Caenorhabditis elegans: one gene and its partners. The protein of the gene in region 3 interacts with the protein of the main gene of each other region in a pairwise test. Each region holds a gene or a part of one and is shown on either strand. Other genes may lie near its edges.

Region 1 (6,819 bases), on a different chromosome or scaffold from region 3:
CAAATTTTGTTGATAAAGGGTGTCACGAGCCACGTTGACCACGAAAAGAGATGGGGAGGGTGAATTTTAAAAACATTAAGGGATTTTGGAGGGCTTCTGGAAGAGTGAAAATATTTTTAAGATTAAAATTAAGTTATTTAAAATTTCAAACTCAAAGTTAAACTATTAGAAAAGCATTATTTATAATTGATTATAATTTCTCTGAAACATTAAAAATAAATTTGATCAACAAAAAAAAAGAAAATCAGTTTTCCAAAACAATTAAATTTAGTCCCAAGAATGAAAACATCAGAGAGGTATTGAAAAGAAATTTAAAATTAAACAAATTAAAAACTCTTGAAACAGTAATTTACAAATGTCATTCCTTGAAAATTGTCTTTTTGAAAATTTAGTTTTTTTAAAGGATTTTAAGTGGTAATGTTATTTTGAAAAGTGGTTTTTATTCAAAAATTTGGAAATCTTTCATTACATTTTAGTACACAGTTTAATGGTGGGTTTTACATTTTTGCAAAAAAAGTTCAAATTCCTGACTGAGTAATTTTTGAATTCCCGCGCAAACAAAAAATCTGTGTTGGCTTTCAAACTTTTTTGGTACTCTAAAATTGTTCTAAAAATCGAAAAAAAAATGTCTGAAATTTAAAACTTTTTTTTTGCAATATCGAAAACTTCTGGTACATTTTTTAAACAGTAGAATTGCCTTGTTACGATCCATTTCTATATTTTACAGCAGAACTCCTGTCAACCATACTCCACCTCTGGATTGTTTTCAAAAATTAAAAGTATTAAGAAAAAAAAATTACAGTTTCAAATATGTCTGAAAAAAATTACAGAAAAAATATCAGCAGTACGACCAAAAATGAGATTGAGTTTATATGTTTCAAATTTTTTTCATGAAATTTCGGGAACTAAGAAAAATTCAACTGAAACTATAATTGATGTTTACGTGGAATTAGGAAGAATTCGACTAGAAGGCAGGCAGGCAAGTAGGCAGGAAGAAAATATGTACTTCAGAGTAAAATTTGGTTAGTTTTCTTTCAGGGATTTGGAAATTGAACGTTTGCTGGTGATTGCCACTTTACATTAAAACAACAATTTTTTGATAATGCATGCTGACAATTGTTATTAAATTTTCGAATTTCCTGCAGTTTCAATCAGGTTTTATAAGTTTAAAGCTTTCTTGAGCTACACTTTAACAAATATAGATTAATAAACTATTAAAATAGGTAATTTTTGAAAATTAATAGTAACCCAGAAAATAAAATTTTTTTAAAAAATATTAGAATCCTCTGATAAGGAGAAGTACAATGGAAAATCTGAAAATTGAAAAAATTTTATGAAACACTTGAAACAGGAAATGTTTTAATTTTTGATAAGATGTTGTCTCAAAAATTGCAACAATTACAAATTCTCTCCAAATGTTTTTTTTAAGTTTACATTTAAATTTTCACAACTTTATTTTCTCTGTGGAATGTGGGAGAAATAGGCAAATAAACCCACCGTGGGCTCATCAGCTCACTTTTGTCGTTTGTGTAAAATTTGCTTAGTTAGCTTTATTATTGTCAACAGCGGAATAACGATTTGTCGTAATTTTAAAAAAACATCCATAAATTAGGCAACTTCAGCGGCAGCTTTCTGTGCAGTTTCCTCAGCAGCATCCTGTTCATCCGTATTGATTCCAAAGATCTCTCTGAGTTCAGCAGTTGTTTTGCCCTTTGCCATGTTGGAAACAGTCTTACATCCATAGTACATGAGACCCTTGATGTCAAGGAAGTTTGAAGCCAGAATCAAATCAAACAGAGCTTCATCCTCAATTTTCAAAAACTTTTGATCCCATTCTGGAATGGTAAGAGTCTTGAGAACATTCATATTGTCCTCTGGAATTGCATCGGCTTTGTGCTTCTCACACAATTCAGCAACCTTCGCCATAGTCTTTCCATTCACATTTGTAACTGGAATTGGATCACGGGTCTCGATGTTTTCGATGGTGTAGCCGAGATTCTCAATCAGATTGCTCAGAGTTTTCGATTGTTGAACGGCTTTTTCACTCATTTTGGATACAACTCCATCGCTCGAAATGATCTTGTAAACGATTTCAGCAGCTGGAGCATCGGCAACTGGAGCAGACATAGTGATGACTAGGTAGATTCTGAAAATGTCAGATATGAGCTATTTAGGTTCAAAAGTTAAGGTTCAAAGAAAAGAGAGAGAAAAATTGAGAAATCACTATTAAAAAAAACAACCAGTTCACAATGCAACTGATGTATCGAATGATGGATGACTGAATAGATGTGCTCATACGCGACGCGCACTCAAAATAAATCGATACATTTCTGTGGGAAATTACCTAACCGTTGAGGGATGACTGGGAAAAATGTAAGGTTGACAGATGTGATCGACTCGAAGAAAACTAGAATCGATGAAATTTGAAAATAAAAAATTGGAAGAATAAATTTTAAAAATTTACTGTTTCAACATAACTTTATAAAATGTCATCTTCATATTAATGATAATGCTGATGTAAAATGGTTGGAAGATTTTTGGAAAAATGCCAAATACACGCAACACACAAATTGTACGGAATTGCAAAAATCACAGGGAAAAACTGAAAGTGAGTGCCTGCCACTAAAGAAAATAATGTAGATTGAATGCAAGTGAACATGATAGGTAATTATAGACAGTGAGCAGTCAGCCGACGCTGTGCTGAAAATCAGTCGATAATATAATGGGTAAGTCCTCTGTCGAGCTGAAAGAAGAGCAGCTGGTAATTGTTCACTGACCTAATACGCAATCGATAAGCTACATTTGCAGCGTTCTTGTCATATTCTGAATATTGTCCATTCGAAGAATCATTCTGTCGTTTGGCTCGCATCGCGAACAGTCGCATTTCATTTTTTCTCTCCTTTTCTTTATTTGTCTGATTTTATTTTAGTTTTTTATTTCCTTTTACCTTTCTGATCTTTTGAATGGTGCCCAACTACCCTTTTATAAAAAATTTTCTCTTAACGTTATTCCTCGCCAGTCTTCCATATTTTGTTACGATCTTTATCAATTCATATTTTTTAGAAACTACCCAAACTTCTAAAAATGATTGCTGAAGCCGCCGCGGTCGAAGTTCAAGCCAACGAGGCTCCAGTTGTTGCTCCAATCATGTACAAGGTCGAATCGAATGATGGAAAAGTGTTCGAAATCAGTGATGAAGCAGTTAAACAATCAAATATCCTCTCCAATCTGATCTCTACTTGTGCTCCAGAGGATGTTGCTTCAATGGATCCAATTCCAATCACAAATGTCATTGGAAATATCCTGAAGATGGTCATTGAGTGGTGTGAGAAACACAAAGGAGAAGCGCTTCCAGTTGAAGATGACAGTGTTCCAAAGCATGTCAATGTTCCCGAATGGGATACCAACTTCTTGAAAATCGACAACGACGTGCTCTTCGACTTGATCGTTGCCTGTAACTACCTTGATGTGCCTGGATTAATGAATTACGGATGTAAGATTGTTGCCATGATGGCCATTGGAAAGTCTCCAGATGAGTTGAGAATCATCTTTGCAATTCCAACTGATGAAGAGGATGAAGCTGCGGAGAGAGCTGCTAAGGAGAAGGCTGAAGCTGAGAAGAAGGCAATCACCGACAAGGACGCAGCTGAGCCATCAACTTCCAAATAACTTTCACACTTTTATTTTCGAGTTTTTGGTAAATAAATACATTTGACTGTCATTATAAGTTTTTAAAAAAAAATTTCAGACTGAAATTGAATGTAAAAAATAAGAAAAATTAGTACGTATAAAAGAGAAAATCTTAGAATTTGTTAAACAGTTGATATAGTGTTAAAGTTGTACGATATAACTGTAAACCGTTTCAATAATTATTAGTAATATTATTACTTACAGTTGATTTGAAAACGAACATTCCTTAAAAAAAACCAATATACAAACGTTATGCAGAAGTAAGCTTTGAAATAATGAAAAGTAATGCTTGTAATATTTTGTAAAAACATTCGCGAAAAGGGCCAAAAAGATTTGAAGATGTTCAACGAACAATTTGTAGACTACACGTAATTCAAATTTATTCGATTTTTTTGGGTCAAATTCCAAAACTATGATAAATGTTTGACTATTTGAAATCTTCAACAAAGAAATCCAAATATCTTGCAAATTGTTGTGCTCAATTGAATAAAAGATGGAATAAAACAACAGAGTTGGAAACATTACATTTTTGAAACGATAAATTCGAAACAGTAGATTTTATCAGAATAAAAACTTTTTTTAAATTTTTTTTGTATTATTCTTTCTGTGCTCGGCCTCATTTTCTTGAAAGTAAAAAAAAATCTGAAATTCATATTTACATAAATTGTAATGGCAGCCAAAGGTGTTAGTTGATCAAAAACTCGAAAAATTTGTTTCATGGAAACGAGTCACACTAAGGTAGGCGTGTCATGTAGGCACAACCGATTTTTAGAAATAAATATAATTGTTCGAGCGTTTGAAATAATTAACAAAAGAATTCAAATGTTTTGCACATTGTTTGGTAATGTACTCTTATGATTAAAATTGAACTACAATTGAATTGAGTGCTATCATAGTCCTAAAATTATGAATCCAAAACCGTTGGTTTTCTTTTTCTATAGGTAATCCTATTTTTCATGTTTTCGACTACATCTTCTGTAATTTTAACTTTAAATTATTTTTATAAAAACGTCGAATCACAATCAAATTTATTAATGTCATCAAAAACTTGAAAAAATTAGAGCATGAAAGTTATTTGGAAGTTGATGGTTCAGCTGCGTCCTTGTCAGCAATTGCCTTCTTCTCAGCTTCAGCCTTCTCCTTTGCAGCTCTCTCCGCAGCTTCATCTTCTTCATCAGTTGGAATTGCAAAGATGATTCTCAACTCATCAGGAGATTTTCCGATAGCCATGTTGGCAACCATCTTGCATCCATAATTCATTAATCCAGGCACATCAAGGTAGTTGCAGGCAACGATCAAGTCGAAGAGCACTTCGTTGTCGATTTTCAAGAAGTTGGTATCCCATTCGGGAACATTTATATTCTTTGGAACACTGTCATCTTCAACTGGAAGCGCTTCTCCTTTGTGCTTCTCACACCACTCAATGACCATCTTCAGGATATTTCCAGTGACATTTGTGATTGGAATTGGATCCATTGAAGCAACATCCTCTGGAGCACAAGTAGAGATCAGATTGGAGAGGATATTTGATTGTTTAACTGCTTCATCACTGATTTCGAACACTTTTCCATCATTCGATTCGACCTTGTACATGATTGGAGCAACAACTGGAGCCTCGTTGGCTTGAACTTCGACCGCGGCGGCTTCAGCAATCATTTTTAGAAGTTTGGGTAGTTTCTAAAAAATATGAATTGATAAAGATCGTAACAAAATATGGAAGACTGGCGAGGAATAACGTTAAGAGAAAATTTTTTATAAAAGGGTAGTTGGGCACCATTCAAAAGATCAGAAAGGTAAAAGGAAATAAAAAACTAAAATAAAATCAGACAAATAAAGAAAAGGAGAGAAAAAATGAAATGCGACTGTTCGCGATGAGAGCCAAACGACAGAATAATTCTTCGAATGGACAATATTCAGAATATGACAAGAACGCTGCAAATGTAGCGTATCGGTTACGTTGTAGATCAGTTATTGATTGGAAAATGTACATACACTGCTCTATTGAAGCTGTATTAGCTGCTGTTCTTCGTTCACCTCGATAGTCACAGGGACTTGTCCATTGTGCAGTTCATCGATTAATTATTAGCACAGCGTCTGCAGACTCTGTATTGCTTGGTACCCATTCTTTCATTATGCAATTTTTTGTTCAAGGCGAGCAGTGTTCTGATTTTTTCCATGTTGCTGTTTCTTTTCCCATTTCTGGTTTTTTTTACTACCATTTTCTATTACGCACACCAGATCGTCGTTTTAAAGTGCAGGGCTGTACAACTAATCCTAACTACTATGCTGACGATATTTTCTTACATAACACTGTGTTGAAACAATAAATTTTAAACAGTTTTTTCCAATATTTAGTTTTGGCATATCAGCGATTTTAGTTTGAACCCAGTCGATTAAATTTCTTTATTACTTCTTTCCTAGTCATCTCTCAACGGTTAGGCAATTCCCCACTGCAAAGTATCAATCTATTTCGTCTGCGCGTTGAGTCTGTGCACAATTTTTAGTTATTCATCAATTATTCTATCAATCAGTTGCATTGTGAGCTGTACATGACAGGAGCATCATCATTGATATGGAGATGAACTTTTCCTTTTTTTTTGGGATGAAAAAATTCTCAAAAAATTTTCCCGTGGTGGAGAGTTGAACTCATCCCCTCCCCCCTAGGAACTTGTTGCCTGTGACTAAATTGTTTGTTTGTTTTTTCCATGAGTTCAACTCTCCACCACGGGAAAATTTTTTGCGAATTTTTTCATCCCAAAAAAAAAGGAAAAAATGGTGTAACAGTTAATTTTTAATAGTTATTTCTCCAATTGTTTGTTTTGAAATTTTATCGGTTCGAGTTTGCGTCCAGTCGATCACATCTGTCAACCGTACATCGTTACCAGTCAACACTCAACGGTTGGGCAATTTCCCACAAAAATGTATCGATTTATTTTGTGCACAACTGTTTAGTTGTTCATCGTTTATTCTATTCATCAGTTGCATTGTGAGCTGGTCGTTTTTTCCTCTTTTCGTTTGCTTTTATTCATTTGTTTTATATTGTTTATCTTATTCAATTAATCGTTCAAATTTTCAGATCCTCTCTACTTACAATAATGTCTGCTCCAATTGTCGATGCCCCAGCTGCTG
Region 2 (6,874 bases), on a different chromosome or scaffold from region 3:
TTGGACCATGTCCGAGGATTTTTGAGGTTTAGGTGAATTTCATAGCTGTTCTCAAAGATTGAACTCACATTCGTTTTTTTTAATGCTAATTATGTATAACAGAGTAAATCTTTAAGAAATGAAGTAATTCAGGAATATTTAATAACGGTAATTTTAATACGGTTTCATAGTTAATATAATTGTGTTCCAATTCCCCATCTCCAATAATTCGTCTATACCAAACAGTTAGTCAGAGAGTTCAAGGTGTGCCTGAAATGACAGTCCATACCTTTTTAAGCAAACATCATTCGAAGTATTTTATCGTATGTGTGATTCACATAAAACTCGTCGTCTATATAAAGCGGTAACGTCGTCTATATAAAGCGGTAACGTCGTCTATATAAAGCGGTAACGTCGTCTATATAAAGCGGTAACGTTATATAAGCGGTAACTTTTCAATTTTCCAATCACTTCCGAGTCTCACCTGAAAAATCTAAAAATGTTCCAAAAATCCACAATTGTCATGATTTTTGCCCTTTTCTGTATTTCATCGTGTCAAGTTTTATATACTCCTGTTGTATCATCTCCATATTATTATGCTTCATCTCCAGTTGCTTCTGCTTATCCATATGCTTATGCTTATGGAGCTGCTGCTTATCCAACTGCATATTATGGATGGGGATCTAATAAGGTAATAAGATATCAGTTAGCATTCAATATTTAAATATCTATAAATTCAGGGACAACAAGCACCATCTTCTGCTCCAACTCAGAAATTGACAAATAATCAATGATCTCTCATTTGAAATATATGCACAATAAGAACTATTTGAAATGTCAAAATAAATTATCTGACTTTATTTGTGAAGCCCTAAAATTATTCCACAGCAATAAACACTTAAAAACAAAAAATCTTAACACAAAATTTTTAATTAAAAAATGTGGTTAAAAATACTACAAAATATTTTTTCAACGTAACAACCTTAAATGTTCTAAAAGCCGAAATGTTGTTTTTTGAACATATATAATAAAAAATCAATATTCCTATCTTTGTATGATATTTATCAATTAAAATTCATATATAACGAAAATTTTAAAGGTAAGTTCCGGGCTTCTCAAGCAGAATTTTAGAACTTAACCACATAATTATTTCAGAATTTGTAAAAGTGTCTATCAAAAAAGAATGGCAGACGATGGATACGAAGTAATTGGTCCCGTCTATTCGGTGCCTCCTCTTGCATCACCGATGCCCACGATGGTTCCTCCATCGCCACTCGCAGTCACTCCAAAGGTTAAAAAGGATGAAGATTCTGGATCAAGTGCGGCGGAGACGACCAGAGCCGGAAAACATCGAAAAAGGACAAACGCCTCAGAGTATGAAGTGGTTGGTTTTTTAATGATTTTGGCTTTTTTTAGCGATCTAGCTTTTCTTGTTGAGAAAATACTGAAAAGAATAGTATGACATGAGTATTGGTTAACAGAAAAGTCCCAGAAGTTTCTGTAATTTTGTTAAATTCTTCAAAACAAGAATCTTCAAAAAAGCCTTTTTTTTTAATTGAAAGTAACTCCTCTTTGCTTACATCAATATTATATAAATTCAGAGCAATATGGAGAGCACCCACCATGATGTAGTTTCGATCAAGCACAGACCAAACTCGTGTGACGTTTGCCACGTGGCGACTCTTTTGTTCCTGATTGTTATGGTGATCGCCATATCGACTCCAGTTCTCCTTTCTGCAAGTAAGGGCGGACTTCCATGGATTGAGAATAAGTTGATGGAAGAGTCTAATTAAGAGTACTGCCGAGTTTGAATAAAGATTTTATGGGGAATTTTTTTGTACTCACATCTTTCAAAAGTTTCCTGAAAAATTACTAAGCTTACAGTAACCTTACAGTAACGCTCTTTACGCAAATGTAAAACTTTTACATGTATTTACATAAACAAAAGTTTTACATATTTAAAATGACCATGCTTTTTTCAAAAATCTCAACGCTTTAAAGCGCTATGAACCCCTGAAGCGCCAAAATCTCTGCGTCTATTTAATTTGAATTCCGCGCGCAAATGAGCGACCATCGTGTACTCTCGGACAATCAAATAATTTGTTGATTTTCCACAAGTTTATGTGTTCTTCGAATTTTCTCATTATTTTTCAGTTTTTTAATTGTATTAATAAATTTATGAATGCATTTTGAATGGATTGATGCTCAATGAGACAAAACTCTTGTTTTATTGAATTATTTGGTTGTATTCCCGCATTTTTTCTATTCCACTGAAAAATAAGTTTTTTTTTCATTTCGATCTTTGGGATCTTTCAAATATGACTATTTTCTCTTATTTCTACGAATAACTTCATCTATTGAAAGTACTCTAGTTTCCCAATTCAAGAAAAAACATTTTTACATGAATGTGAATTCCCTCTCGAGACTTATCCGAATAATTAAAAGAACTTTTTACTACTCCTTCCAGAATATTAAAAATCTACCGTTGTCTATCTTCCAAAGTGTTCATTGCTCCATTCGCAATAACATTTTTATCGCACAATAATAACCGTTTTCTCAGCCACTGTTTTTCCAATCCACTTGTTACACTACACTCGAAATATCGGGAAAGTTCAAATTCCACTGTTCCAAGTTCCAAATGTATTGGTTGCAGTATCGATCGGAAAACAATAAACTCCACTCATCCTGCGTAGCACACCTCCTTCTATTTCGAAATCAATGTTTCCTCGTCATATGTTGTATCTCTCACACCCTCCGTCTTCTTCTCTATACTTGTAAAAGAGCGCGTCGCGCAATACTCATAGAGTTTCATTCTTTTGCATTTATTCAGTCATTCATCATATTCTTCTTTTCTCTTGCTTATCTTTGGAATTCCTCTGACATTCATTCTACCATTTACTAGAATTATAACATTGATTTTGTAAATACTCTTCCTCATTCTCTTGCAATAAAAAACAATTTCCTAACCGAAATCATTTCAGAACTTGCACTACATCTTCCGTTAACAATGCCATCTTGCGAGATCAAATTCGACTTCAACGACTCTGACGAGTCAGTCACTGTTCGTGAAACTCGCATTATCCTGCTTCTTCCAGTCATCCGTCGCGCTGTTGAGCTCCAGGTAAGATATCAGATTTTTTTTTTTGAGAAATATAGATTTAAAAATAAACGTTTTTTTCAGTATCCGGATTTCGCGACCGAGGAGAATGCGGTGATTGAAGCTCCATTCAGGGTTCCATTCAAGAAGGATGCTGGAGTATTCCTCTTCGATACCATCGCTCGCTACGCTGCACCAACCGATGACAATGTCCATGAGATCACTGTTGAACAAAGTTACCCAGAAGCTGGACCGAAGACCTTGGATGAGCTCAAAGAAATCATTGAACTCGCCAACTTCTGGGAGTGTACCACTTACATGGAGTGCATCGGATTTGCGATTGCAAAGAAGTTGGAGGACAAGACCATCGAAGAGATCGCCGCTTTCATGGGAGTCGAATGCAATCCACCAGGAAACTTCTTCGCAGAGGAAGACGGATGGATTCATCCACCAGCAGACGCTTTCCAGAATGTCCAATAGATCCGATCCCCTCGTAATTTGCTCTGATCTCCCACTGCCAATTTCCATGATTTTGTGTTAAATATATTCAAGCTCAATACTTTCACTTTTTACCTCCTTGTAATATATTAAATACTTATCAGAACTTTTTCAAATTGATTTTAAGGAATGAATAAAATGATTTTCTCGAAATGTGCTCACAAATCTTAAAAAGAACTCGAAATCAGAATTGCCAAAAAAATCAACAGAGAGGAAAGTAATTGAGGACGATTCATGCAAAATTACAGTATCAACTCGATTAGTTCAACCGTGAATTGAATAAAAAAAATCGACGTCAAATCCACGGAAACAAGGTTGCCACGATTTTCAGAGGTACTCGCCCTATTCCAGTTATTCCGGATTTTGATGAATTACCGTAGCTCACGATGTTTACTATTCCTTTCAAATTGAAAGTTTCAATGTCATCATACTTCCGTGAAAAAGTGAGACATTCAGTTTTAAAGGCACATGATTTTTTTCTGAGTTATTATCGCGACGATTTCGGCTAGTGCTCACGCTTTTACAAATGTATGATAGCTCTCCTAGTTGAATTTTGTTTTAATCTGAAAACGTTTAAATGGGAATATTCAGCCCAGATGTTCTGCTTTTAATACTACATGTGCAAATTTGGAACACTGCCAAGTGATCGATATTATTGTGTATCTGACATTGTTCAATATATATCTACTTCCAATTTACAAAGGGTCATAGATTGCCCTTTCTTCCTACAATAGCAATCTTGGCAGTGATGTTTACCTCTAACGTCTTGCCAATGTATTCTAGGTCACATCTTTCGACTTTCTTCCCACTGTTCCACATTGATTGTGACAATGAGCACAGTTTAAAGCGTCGTAGCAGCTGGTATATCTTTTCTTTCTATTCATTCATAAGACTTTTGTAATATTTAGTTTAACCAATTGTTTCTTTCTCCGCGCGGAGTTTTCCATTCTCATAAATCTTTCATTTTCAAAAATTCGTTTTTTCAGCCAATAATAATGCCATCCTGCGAGATCAATCTCATCTTCAATGACTCTGAGGAGCCAGTCACCCTACGTGATACGGGGATCATTATGCTAGTTCCAGTGATTCTTCGGTCGGTTCAGTCTGAGGTACGTTAGCCCTGAATTCAAAATTAGTATTTTCGAAACTAAATCTCGAATTCTTTGCAGTTCCCCGACTTTGAGAATCAAGATAACGTCAAGGTTACTTCTCCACTTTCAATTCCGTTCAATAAGAAGGCAGGTGTCTTCCTCTTCGAATATATTCAAAAATATGTTCCACCAAATGATGATACAATCCACGAATTGACAGTCGTCGAGAACTACAAAGAAGCTGGACAGAAGACTTTGGATGAGCTCAAAGAAATCATTGAGCTAGCCAACTTCTTCGAGTGTACTGATTTCATGGAATGTTTGGGATTTGTGATCGGAAAGAAGTTGGAAGACAAATCAGTTGAGGAGATCGCTGCGTACATGGGTGTGGAATGTAATGCACCGGGACACTTTTTCGATGAAGCCGATGGATGGGTTCATCCACCAGCAGATGCATTCCAGAATGTCCAATAGATCCGATTCTCCCCCAGTTTGCTCCGATCTCGTTCTGCTAATTTTCATGATTTTTTGTTAAATACAACCTCAATACTTTCAATTCTCGTTTCACTGCAATAAAACTTGTTGACTATATATTTACTTCCACTGTTTGAATTTTAAAGTTTCTGAAATAGTTTATAAAAACTTGGAAAAAATATCACAATACTTGAATCAGGATGCAATAGAAATGAGCACTATAAAAGCTAGCGGCAATCGGGGAAAAATGACAGATCAGTGAAACTTTGGGATTTGGAAAGCGTCGAGAAACATGGTACATTGAACGTGATTATCTACTGTTTCTTCTTCTCATCTTGCTTGTTGGCAGTTTGACTTCCCCAAATATCAGCAAATGCAAGAGTTCCAGCAAAGACAAGAATGGCTCCAAGCCAATGTTGAGCTGAAAAAGAGAGGAATTTTGATTTCTAAAGACGATTTTTTAGTATTTCTTTTTTTTTCCTTTCAGATTAGATTATGGAGCCCTAGTTTACGACCAAAAGAATCACATAACGTTTTTTAAAACATTTGATTTTGGTACAAAGATATGGTACCCGGTCTCTGAACGACCAAAACTTCCCAGCTACCGTACCCGCAAGTGTTCTAATTTTCTACGACTTTTCTGTTTTTTTTCTTCAATATTTTGATTGATCTCCATCAGGAAAAATGTTCTAATTTTTGCATTATAAATTATGAAAAATTGAGCGAAACTCTAAAAATATGCTTTAGGTATGGTAACCGCGAAGTTTCGATTGTGTCGAGACCAGGAACCTTTCTAATCACTTTTACAATTAAAAAAGTCAATAATAATCTTACGTGTAAATGGATTCTTGAAATAGACAATGGAAACGATAAGTGAGAGGAATTTCCGAAGAGTAACAACCAGCGTGACGGTGAGCGAATCAACACGAGAGTTCAGTTGATAGACGTACTTGATGCATCCGTATCTGAAAGAAATATTATATTTATTTGCTAATATCTAAAATTCACTTACTGAAGAAGACAACTTGCAATCAAATCAACCCAGAGAGATGGAAGCCATGGGAATACAGAATGTGGAGCACTGGCAGAAAGTTTCGTAGCCGCTGACACAATGTCGCTTCCCATGATGAGGAAGAATGGAAGTGAGATCAAATGCTAGAAATAAGTTCAGTCAAAATTATTGAATTTGAATGAGGTTACTTACAGTAATGAACATAGCTTCATCTGGATGTTTCCCATACTTCTCGTACATTTGTTGTTGATAGATTGCTAAAACAGCTGAAGCCAATAGAGCAAAAGTGAGCATAATAATTCCAATCGTCCATTCCTTATAATGTTTCGATGCTTCTTCCATCGAAAGTCCCGAATCTCCTTGTGTTGACGTGGCAAGTGTGCAAATGACAATTCCGATGGTAATAGCGAATACGGAAATGTATTTCCGAGCAGAATAACTTTTACCAACCATAACAACTGAGAGAATCAATGTGGCAAGAAGAGAACCCTGAAAAAGTAGGTTTAGCCGGTTTTGAATGAATTTTACATAATTTAAATTGCTTATAAAACCTCTAAAACTAATCATCCGCCAAGGGTGTATTTTTTGGAAAATCGAACATTTTAATTTTTTAAAAAGATTTTTCAAAAAATACCTGTAATTTTTGGTTTCGAATTACATATTTTCATATGTCATAAATTCATCGAAAATTTGGAAATAGTTTGTTAATTTTTTGGGTTTTTT
Region 3 (10,152 bases):
GACTTGATTGTCAGCCCATAACTGTATACCCATATTCTTGGCAGACACCACAAAAACTTCCGACGGATCATCGGCACCTTCATAATTTGGAAGATTATCCTTATCAAATGTTAGATAAGATGAATCAATAGTTGTCAAATCAATTGCCAATGGAAGTGAAAATGACAGAATTTCTTCGCGAACATTATTTTGATTTATGAGGGTTTCAGAAGGTTCATCGATGTTGGAGGATCCATCTATTGATTGGAAAAGTGGGGATACTGCCACGTGGGTTTTTTCGTTGAATAGAAACTGAAACTTTTGGAACTGGATTTAAAAAAATATATATTCGATTTTTTTTAAATCTGAAACTTTCCAATTTTTAATTTAGACTTGTCAAAACTAGATATATGTATACAGACTAACTATAATTTAGACTTTGAAAATTGTTGGAGATGCGTCAAATATGGTGCATTTAGTCCACAACTAAAATATGTGCTGAAGCCATCTTCAATGCACCATCACTTGAGTTTTTCTTAGCAAATTCCGTCAAACGATGCACCATATTTGACGCGCAAATCTAATTTGTTACCTATTTCTCACCTGAATCAAATTCATCTCAGTTGGAACTGTATCTCCTGAAATAAGAAGACAACGTTCAACTTTTTGAAGTCTCGCATTCCTCAATCCGCTTTCCAGCCAATTTTCTGATTCTTCGATTATTTTGACAGATTTGAAGTATTGTTTTGTAGAGTCTAGCCACCTGAAAACTACGTTTTTTGGAAAATTATCTGACAAAATATTTTCCATGCTACAATTTGTTCGTTGCCATTTTTTTTCAGCAGTTTTTTCAAAAAGTTGCAGGAGCACGAAGTTAAGGAGCCTAAGCGTAAACCTAAGCCTAAGCGTACGCCTGAGCCTAAGCCTGATCTTATGCCTAAGCCTAAACCTTAGCCTAAGCCTAACCCTAAGCAAAATCCTAAGACTAAGCCTAAGCTTAAGCGTAAGCCTAAGCCGAATCTTAAGCCTAAGGCTAAGCCTAAGTCTATGTCTATACCTAAGCCTAAGCCTACGAATAAGCATAAGCCTAAGCCTAAGCCAAAGCCCAAGCCCAAGCCTAAGCCTAATTGATGGAATCAATTTGAAACTTCAGACTTAAGCTTCTTGGTGGCCTATACGACTCTCTGTTAAATTTCGCTTTGATCGGCCAACGGGAACCCTTTGAAAAATGAAAAAACGCTATAAACCCAAGCCTAAATAGCGTCAGCTAACGCTCGCCACTGACGCCAAGCCTAAACCTGCGCCTAAGCCTACGCATGGGCATAAGCCTAAGCCTAAGCCAAAGCCTGAGCCTAAGCCTACGCCTACGCCTAAACCTAAGACTAAGCTTAATCCATGTTCCTGTGGTTTGCAAGTTATGCGCCTTTAAACCAACCATTTAACCTGATGAATCGTCGCATCTTCCTTGCTTAAAATGAAAATTTCCACTTTAATCCTATCCTTTGGATAATCCAAATTCTCCAGCCAACCCAAAAAGTATGGAATTGCGTGGGCGTGCTCACCGAGCCCAACCCCTATATACACCGGCGGATAAATGTGCCGAACGTCTCCCTCATCTGGCTCAGCTCCCGGAAATAGAGCCCACGAGCTCAGAAACACGTGGAAGAGTAATAAGCAGTGTAGAAATTCGGTCATATATTTTGTGAAGGGATTCTGGAAACTTTTTATCGATTTTTTTCAAAAAAGTTCTAAAAAATATTAGAATAGTAGAATTTTTTAAAGTTTCCATTATACAGTGAAGATTGGAATTTCTAATTGCGATTTTTACGCCAAAAAATAAGATATCCCGGTCTTGAAACGACAATTTTCGTTAAACGCAAAAGGATGTGTGCCTTTAAAGAGTACTGTAATATCAAACTTTCGTTTCAGCGAAATTTTAATCGATATTTCAAAGTTTTTCTCACAATTTTTGCTGAAATTTATGTACGTTTACTGTTATATTTTTGAAATAAACAAATGTTTAAAGTAAAACTTTTTAAAAAAATCGAAGAAAATTACACAAAAACGAAAATTTGAAATTACAGTACTCTTTAAAGGCGCACACCTTTTCACATTTAGCAAAAATTTGTCACGTCGAGACCGGGTACGGAAAATTTCGCGACTGTGTAATAAAAAACAACTGAAAATTCAAATTTCCCGGTCAACGCAACGTGGAAAGTTAGCCTTCAAATAGTAGTCTATAAACAGAGAAGACTGAGCAAAGCATTAGTGTGAAGACTCAGAGCAGTGGGAAAAAGTGCATCTGGTGAACAGACGGAGGGGTCAGAGCAGCAGTAGTGTCTCATCCAAATTGTCTTGTTGTAATAATTCGTCATCGATTTTTTTGTTGTCTGTGGTTCAAGTGACTACTCACCTTTTTGCATTTGGCCTTGAAAAAACTGAAAAATTCACTTGGAAGTTGAATTTTTTTTTAATTTTTCCGAAAAAAGACGAAAAAAAATCAAAAAGGTTTACCGAGTATACGGTTTTTCGAATATTCTACACACAAACGATTTACAAAACCCAGGACCATTTACCAGAGAGCGCAAAATGAAGCCAGGACCCGCTTCTGTAAAGAAGAACAATCGAATAAGGAGGGACTTGGAGAGGAGAATAAGTAATAGAATACAGATGGTGTTGAAGTTTTCAAAAACACGGATATGAAGGGAAGAAGAGGGTGGAGAATAAAACTGGGCGAAAAAAGTAAAGGGGAAAAATAGTTTTTAAAAGAGAAAATAGAATATTTAAAATGAAATGAATTAGGCGAGGTACTCATAGAGATCTTTTTGTCCTTCTGTACGGAGCATATATTCCTTTTCGATGAGTGATCCAATGCATCTCTTGATCATTTCAACCTTTGGCTTGAATCGACCGGAAAGTTGTGTGATCACCTGCAAAAATATCATATTTAGAGGGTTTTAGATGTTTTTTCTTTGAATTTCCAAGTGGAGTTTTTTAAAATTTCAAAGAAAATTCGATTTTTCCGGTGATTTTTTTTTTTCAAATTTCATGGAAAACTTGATTTTCCACGTGGATATCATCTTTTATTTTAGGGGTTTTAATTTATTTCTTCAGAATTTTGTGTTGAAAATGCACTACGAAAGCTCGAAAATTTTGAAGATTTTTTTTTCAATTTTTACAGAGTTTCTACCAATTTCAGGTGAACTTTTTTTTTGAAAATTGAATTTCCAAGAGAATTTTATCGAAATTTCATAAGAAATTCGAATTTCGACGCGTTTTTTTTACGAAAATGTATAGAAAATTTGAATTTCCACGTAGATTTTATCAACAAATTATGAAAAACTCGTTTTTCCATAATCAGATTTTTTTCGAAAGTTCATTAAAATTAAATTTCCACGTAGATTTTATCGATTTTTTTCGAAAATTTGAAATTTCCAAACGAACCTCTGTCATAAGCTGCTGATGCTGTACACGTTTGCGAGTTTTCATGATTCTTACGATGCAAGCCTGAAATTATTGAATTTTTCTCTCCAAAACCGCCGATTTCTCATCAAAAACTTACACTAATCACGCTCTTCCGATCCTCCTCAACATTTTTCTGCACATTTTCCGTATCACGCACGGCGTCCTGCTTCATCGTGAATTTTGACAAATCGACACGAACTTTCTTGTTCATGTAGGCTTTGTTGAGGCTTACGGTCGCCGTCATCGGTACTTCATCCTCTTTTTGGAGTTCTGTGTCCGCTTTGAGCACAAGATTTTTGATGAGAGAGCCGACAATGGCTGGTGCTGACTTTTCGTCCATTTTTGTGGCAGCGGCGATTTGTTCGACAGTGTACGAGTCCTGTTCGTTGAACAAAAGCATTGTGCACATTTGAGCAGTTGTGGCCTGGAAAATTTTAGGTTTTTAGCTGTTATTCGATAAAATCCAAGTGAAAATTCAAATTTTAGCTGGGTGGCAGATAGTAAAATTTTGGACTTTTTTCAGGCATTTTCTTCCGGATTTTTAAAAAATATTTTTAGATAGAAATTCCACGTTTAAACTTACAGTAAACACATATTTCTTGGGAAAAGCTGTAGAAGTGATCTCTCCACGACTCTGCGAGTAAACCCACGTGAGCCGACGTCCATTGAACTTCTCATTGTAGAATTGTCCAAAGATCTCAATAGTCTTCGACAGCTGCTGTGGAAGAGTTATTGGTGTCGTTGGGAAAGTCGGCCATGAGCCCGAACTGAGCACGAGAACATTGAATTCAACGGATTTCTGGCCGAGCATATCCGCTTTCTTTTCCTTGAAATCCGCGGTTAAATCCTTGCTGACTTGAGTATCGTTGACCATTTTCGAGAGACGGGCGGTATACTCGTACCCGCACATACTCTTGAGCTTCGTGATAAAGTTAGCCTCGGCTTCATCACTTGCTGAGAGTTCACTGATAAGTCGTTTGCTGAACATTTTCGTGTAGAATTTGGAGAATACATCCTTATCGTCAATGTACTTGAACACAACCATCTGGAATAGAAATTTTAGAATTTTGAGCTAACTTTTTAGAAATTGGGTTTTCATTTCTATGGAGGTTTGAAATATTTTAAATCTTTTAATCCTTTAATATGGCAATTTTAGATAAAACCTCAAATTTTCCCGTATGTCGGAAATTGATTTTTAATTGATTACTGGCGTTTTTCGTTGATTTAGGTCGATTTATAGCCACATTTAAACGTCAGAAAAAGGTAAATAATTGAAAAGTTGGGAAAATTGCCGTATTTTTCGAAATTTTGAGAAGCCTCGATATGAATCGATATGAAAAAATCGGTATGAAAAACGATATGAAAAAAAGGAGAGGAATCTGTTTTTTTTTTTCAGCGAAAATCTCAAATTTAGCCAACTTATCAGTTTCGCAGTGTGCACTCATCGATCGAAAATGTTCCTCAATCAACGAAATAAACAACCAAAATATGCAAAAAGTTGGTTAAATTTCAAATTTTAGCTGGAAATTACGCCATTTTGAGAAAAAAAAAAGCGAGAAAAACCTACAATCTTCGTCTGCAACTCCTCGAGCTCCGCCTCATCGGGCATCTTCGAGCTTTTTCTGAGCAGTTGATCACAATATCTGGCAAGAAGCTCCGCGGACTTTGTCAACTGAGCCTGTGGCGGGGCACGTTTAGTGACGGCATTATTATTGATAAAAGAAGTCGCCGCCTTATCGAGTGATTGCATGAATCCTGGCTCATTTTTGAATGATCGATTGACAAGGCTTTGATAACGTTCATGAACCTCCAGAAGCGTCTTCACGTAGAGTTTCGCGTCGGTTGCCGCCTCCATAGCAACTCTTTCCAACGCCTGGTGACCCTCCTTTGCGATGTGATTCTCCAGGGATTTTCTGAGCTCGTCGAGTCCATTCGGCACTCTATCGCAAAGCTTGAACATTCTGGAAAGGTCATCGTCTCGTTTATCGACAAGAAGACCACCGAAGTGTCTCTGGAGGAAGTCAAGCTGATTAGAGATGAGCACAGATTCACAGCAAGTTGCAAGTGGAGTTTTTGTGGAAGAATTCAGGTAGAGTTGACAGCGATCATCCTCTTGATTAAGTCTTGTCTCCACTTTAATCATGTAATCTGTCACATTTCCTCCGTTGCTCAGGAAATTTGCCGCCTCTTGGGTATAAAATCCGCGGGTCGCCTCCAAAAACTTGACTTCGAAGAATTCCTTGTAAACGGCCAGCTTCTTGGTCTCCGCGTCCTTCTTCGCATCGGTCTCCGAATCGTCAACACCCAACTCCACAAGACACTCGACAACTCCAGAAATGTATCGGCTGTTGATCATGGATCCGGTTCTCTCGGAACGAATCAGCTCGAGCATCGCATCAATCACCTTATCCTTAAGATCATTGAACAAGTTACGCTTCCAGACGACCAACGCAAGTGTATAAACCATGTAAATGTTCTCATGGCCCTCGTCGAGCTCACGTCTGATCCAATGACGATTGAGGTAGGCAAAAATACCATCCATCACCTTCGACGAGATTCGGAAGTTCTCCCATTCAGTTGTGTAGTATTTCAGAAGATCCTCGCCCGACAACTCGGCGCCCTTTTCACAAACAGCGATTACGTACGCTTTTACATATTCCTCAACACGCTGGTACATCTCGTGACCGACAAAATCCGCGCCAGCGGTTCGTGCTGGAGTTGAAGATTCTGCTCGACCGTCTTCGCCGTCTCGGCGGCTTGTGGACAATGTTATCGATGTGCAGTAGTCATAGACGCTTCTGAAAATTAAAGATTTTATTGAGTTTCTGTGGAATTTCGGGGGGAAATCTTACGTGTAAAGAGTCATATAGTCTTTTGGCGCCATATTTTCTCTGCGATACGCTACATCAAGTCCATCTTGTAATTTCTTCCAAACCACCTCGGAATCACACGTCATTCTTCTCGGTTCGCTATTTGTCATACTGAAAAACACATTTTTAAAAAATAATTGTCGATTAAAATCAAGGGATTTGTCAATTTCGCAAGAAACAGAGGAACGAGGAAACAAGGGCCCAAACGCAAACGCGCTCCAATCCAAAATCATCATGTGTTGGGAAAAAGTCACCGAAGGTGGAAATAATGGGCTTGAAATTGAGAAAATTTATGAGATCCCGGAAAAATAGATGTTTTCAAAAAAATTGGAAAACTGGAGCAAAATTGGGGGAGAAATATAGATATCCTGGAAGAATAGAAAAAAAAGACGAAAATCCAGAGCCATCACTGAATGGGGATACTTGTGAGCCAGCAGACGTTAGAAATGACTCGATAGTGAGCCTCCGACTGGAAATTAAGAAGACGCGCTGAAAATCGCGGGAAGACAGTAAATCGATTGCCCTCGGACGCGATTCTCACCGCAAATCGATAAATTTAACTGGGAATTGGAGGGAAAATAGGAGATTTTCTAATTTGCTAGCCTGGGAAAAGGGGAAATTAAATAAATACATAAGGAAATTGTTCCAGCGATAATTCTAGCTTTTCAAGTGATACTGGGGAAATAAATTAAATTGTTCTTAACAGGAGATTTTCAAAAACTCTGTGAATTTTGGAAAATTTTCAGATGAAAGACACCTAAATAATAATAATTTTAGACTATTTCATTTTCCCCGGGACTCAGGAATTTCCAAGAACAGAAAAAAAGCGAATTTCAGTTGATTTTTCAGAGCCCATTTCAGTGAGCTAAACACCCTTGGAGACGGAGACTGCGCGACACAAGCTAGAGACGCCTCATCTTGTGTCTTCATCGATTCTTAAAGAAATTCTGGTGAGTACAATGGTTCTGTTAGTGCACAAAAGACAGCTGAGATGGCGGGATGATCTGGAAAAGAAAGGTCACAGGAGGGAATGATTAGCGGCTGTGCAATGAACGGGCGGAGTTTTCTAAGGTTTTAACAATAGCAAAGTTTGTTTTTTAGGTGTTTCGATGTGCAAAATACACGAAAGCGAATTTTTAATAGTTTAAAGTTGAAAAACGCGTTTTCATTCGAGAAAAACTGGAGAAAACATGCATTTTATGCAGAAAAAAAAGTAAAAAAAGAATTCGATAAAACAACAGGTGGAAAACAGATTTTTAACTGTACATCGATCCTGGCGATGCCCAAAGGAAATTTTAATTAGTGGAAGTAATAATCGAAGTACTGTAGAACTAGGTTTTTTAAACAGGAGCCCATAAAACTGTAATCATTTTTTATATTTCTATTGCGGAAAAGAGGAGAAATTATTCTTTCACAAATAAATAGACAAAAACTGAAAAAAAATGAACAAAAATCGCTGTAAAACTCGAAACAGTTCTTGGCGGGACTCGGTAAACTTATTAGTTCGTGCGCCTTTAAAAAGATACTGTACCTGGAATAACAAGAAAAAACAACATTAATTAAATCTAAGAACATTTTGTATTCTTACAAGACTTACATGATTTATCAGAATATGTTGCAACTATTTGGTATAAAATAGGAAATAAATAGTTTTAGAATTTTCACCGTAATCATATGATCGGTGAACAACGGCCGTGAAAAATAAAAAATATTTTAAAATGTGAATAACAAAAAACCAATACATAAAAGGATTGAATAAATAATTAAATTTATTTCAATATTTCGAAAAGCTACATTTCTCTATTAGCTACACAGTTTCAATCGATTTCGTGGTCAGAATCAGTATGGAAGAAATTCAAGCGATCACAGAAGGAAAAGTGAGTTTCTCTGAGCATTTTCAGCCGGAAATTCACAATTTCCCTCAATTTCAGATAATCGCAAAGCGTTGGAAAATCGTTGAAAAACTCGGCGAAGGCGGTATGGGTGCGGTGTTCAAAGTACGAGATCTGACCCGCTTTCAGACATACGCCGCAATGAAAGTCGAGGGAGACGTGAGTGACGGCGGGGTTCTGAAGCTGGAGGCTCACGTGCTCAAATCACTGGCTCCACTGCCGTTTTGTGCAAGATTGATGGATGCTGGCGATCGAAAATCGTATTGTTTCATGGTGATGACTCTTCTTGGCAAGGATCTGATGGCTCATAAACGGGATGCTAATACTCCGAGATTCTGTGAGCAGACGACTCTTCGTCTCGCGATGGCAACGTTGTTTGCTATCAAACAGATTCATGAAGTGGGATTCACTCATCGGGATATTAAGCCGGGAAATTGTGTGACCGGGGTTCATGGGAGTGACGCCAAAAACGTCTATCTTATTGATTATGGTAAATTTTTACGAATTTTGACGATCCCGTTACTCGACACGACAATATTTTGTTTGATGCGAGAAGGTGTGCGCCTTTAAATGAGTACTGTAATTTTTTTTAACTGTTTTCCTTATGTTGCGTTTTTTCTCGAAAAAAAAACACTTTCCAGATCCATCCTCTGAATCATGAAAAACTGAAATGTACAGTAATCTTTAAAGGTGCACGTCGCATTCAACACACATGTTTGTCGTGTCGAGACCCGGCACCGTATTTTTGATTCAAAAATCACACCAAACTTCGTTCAGGAATGGTCCGTCAATTCACCGCCAAACGAGAGAACGGAGAGACCGCACTCCGCAGAGCTCGATCCGGCGAGCAACTATTCCGTGGAACTCCTCGCTATTGCAGCATGAACGTTCACAATCGGAAAGAGCAGGGACGCGTCGATGATCTCTGGTCGTGGCTCTACATGCTCATCGAGCTTCATTGTGGGCTCCCGTGGCGCCGACTGACCGATGAGAAGGAGATTATGGACGCGAAGATTGCATGCTCCATGGAAACTTTGTTGAAAGGGTGTCCCAAGGAATTTGCGAATATTCACAAGTACCTGGAGACACTGGAATACAAGAGCCGCCCGGATTATTTCGGCCTGTGGAGCGAGTGCTTTGCCGGTTTCAAGAGAGTCCGTGGATCGTTCTTTGGCCGATTCGAGTGGGAGCTTGGGAAGGGCGGTGGTGAGGAGATGTTCACGGCTCTGTCGATCAGTGAGAAGAGAGCTCCTAACGATTATAAGGTGGCGACGAAGATGCAAATGGCGAAGAAGATCTGGCCGTATGCGGATTCTGCTCATTTTAAGAAGAAGATCCTCAATCTTTGAACTATTTCTGAACTGATTGACCCCTGAAACTATGAATTTGTGAAAAAAAATACAATGAGCAATAATTGATGTTTATTACATCTGGGGGACGGGGGAAAGGGGCATTCACTAGAATATGAGTAGTGTGCGCGAGATGGTTGAAGATAATAATGTTAAGGAAATAAATTATAGATTTTGTTGTGGGGGGAGGGATGGTATTGCTCAAAAAAAAAGAAAAAAGGAAGGATTATTGGTTTGGTTTTACAAGAAAAAAAAAGAATAAGACGGTCTCGGAAACGGATAATCAGGAAGGCAGAGCGAGAGAAATAACGAATAAAAAGTGAAAGGAGCATTTTGACATGATCCTTCGTGTACGGAAAAGTGTACTTTTTCCGACACTACAAGTAATTTGTGTGGGGAGAAGGAGGAGGAGGAGGTATTGGCGGTGTGAACTTTACCCACAAGAGGGGATACAAAGAACACACGGTTTTTTCTAAAACTAGAACATCACATCTTGTTGTTTATGACGGAATTTCGGAATTCCACGAGATTTTTGTGGTTGTTGTAGATGGTGGCATGGGGGAAGGGGGGAGAAGCGGATTTTTGATGAAAAGAAGG

What was found.
Region 1: the proteins of cul-1 (region 3) and skr-9 interact in a two-hybrid assay, tested with the Caenorhabditis elegans proteins (one study listed by BioGRID).
Region 2: the proteins of cul-1 (region 3) and sup-36 interact in a two-hybrid assay, tested with the Caenorhabditis elegans proteins (one study listed by BioGRID).

The regions. Positions count from the first base shown.
Region 1 is NC_003282.8:17,160,489-17,167,307, forward strand, and holds skr-9 (Skp1-related protein), read left to right. Parts: upstream 1-3,084; coding exon 3,085-3,669; downstream 3,670-6,819. Other genes in the region: skr-13 (Skp1-related protein), read right to left, coding at 1,609-2,127; skr-8 (Skp1-related protein), read right to left, coding at 4,762-5,346; skr-12 (Skp1-related protein), read left to right, coding at 6,786-6,819.
Region 2 is NC_003282.8:6,598,720-6,605,593, forward strand, and holds sup-36 (SUPpressor), read left to right. Parts: upstream 1-2,954; 5' UTR 2,955-2,986; coding exon 2,987-3,100; intron 3,101-3,160; coding exon 3,161-3,556; 3' UTR 3,557-3,724; downstream 3,725-6,874. Other genes in the region: nspb-5 (Nematode Specific Peptide family, group B), read left to right, coding at 479-670, 720-773; F38A5.8 (uncharacterized protein), read left to right, coding at 1,163-1,363, 1,581-1,772; F15B10.3 (BTB domain-containing protein), read left to right, coding at 3,961-4,017, 4,561-4,683, 4,744-5,139; nstp-2 (UDP-xylose and UDP-N-acetylglucosamine transporter), read right to left, coding at 5,454-5,560, 5,974-6,104, 6,152-6,294, 6,344-6,640.
Region 3 is NC_003281.10:10,467,510-10,477,661, reverse strand, and holds cul-1 (Cullin-1), read right to left. Parts: upstream 6,426-10,152; 5' UTR 6,425-6,425; coding exon 6,297-6,424; intron 6,243-6,296; coding exon 5,012-6,242; intron 4,490-5,011; coding exon 4,028-4,489; intron 3,869-4,027; coding exon 3,542-3,868; intron 3,487-3,541; coding exon 3,424-3,486; intron 2,910-3,423; coding exon 2,778-2,909; 3' UTR 2,533-2,777; downstream 1-2,532. Other genes in the region: D2045.9 (Glycosyltransferase 25 family member), read right to left, coding at 1-291, 583-742, 1,415-1,674; D2045.5 (non-specific serine/threonine protein kinase), read left to right, coding at 8,159-8,191, 8,246-8,696, 8,984-9,555. UniProt on the Caenorhabditis elegans protein: Probable core component of multiple cullin-RING-based SCF (SKP1-CUL1-F-box) E3 ubiquitin-protein ligase complexes which mediate the ubiquitination and subsequent proteasomal degradation of target proteins.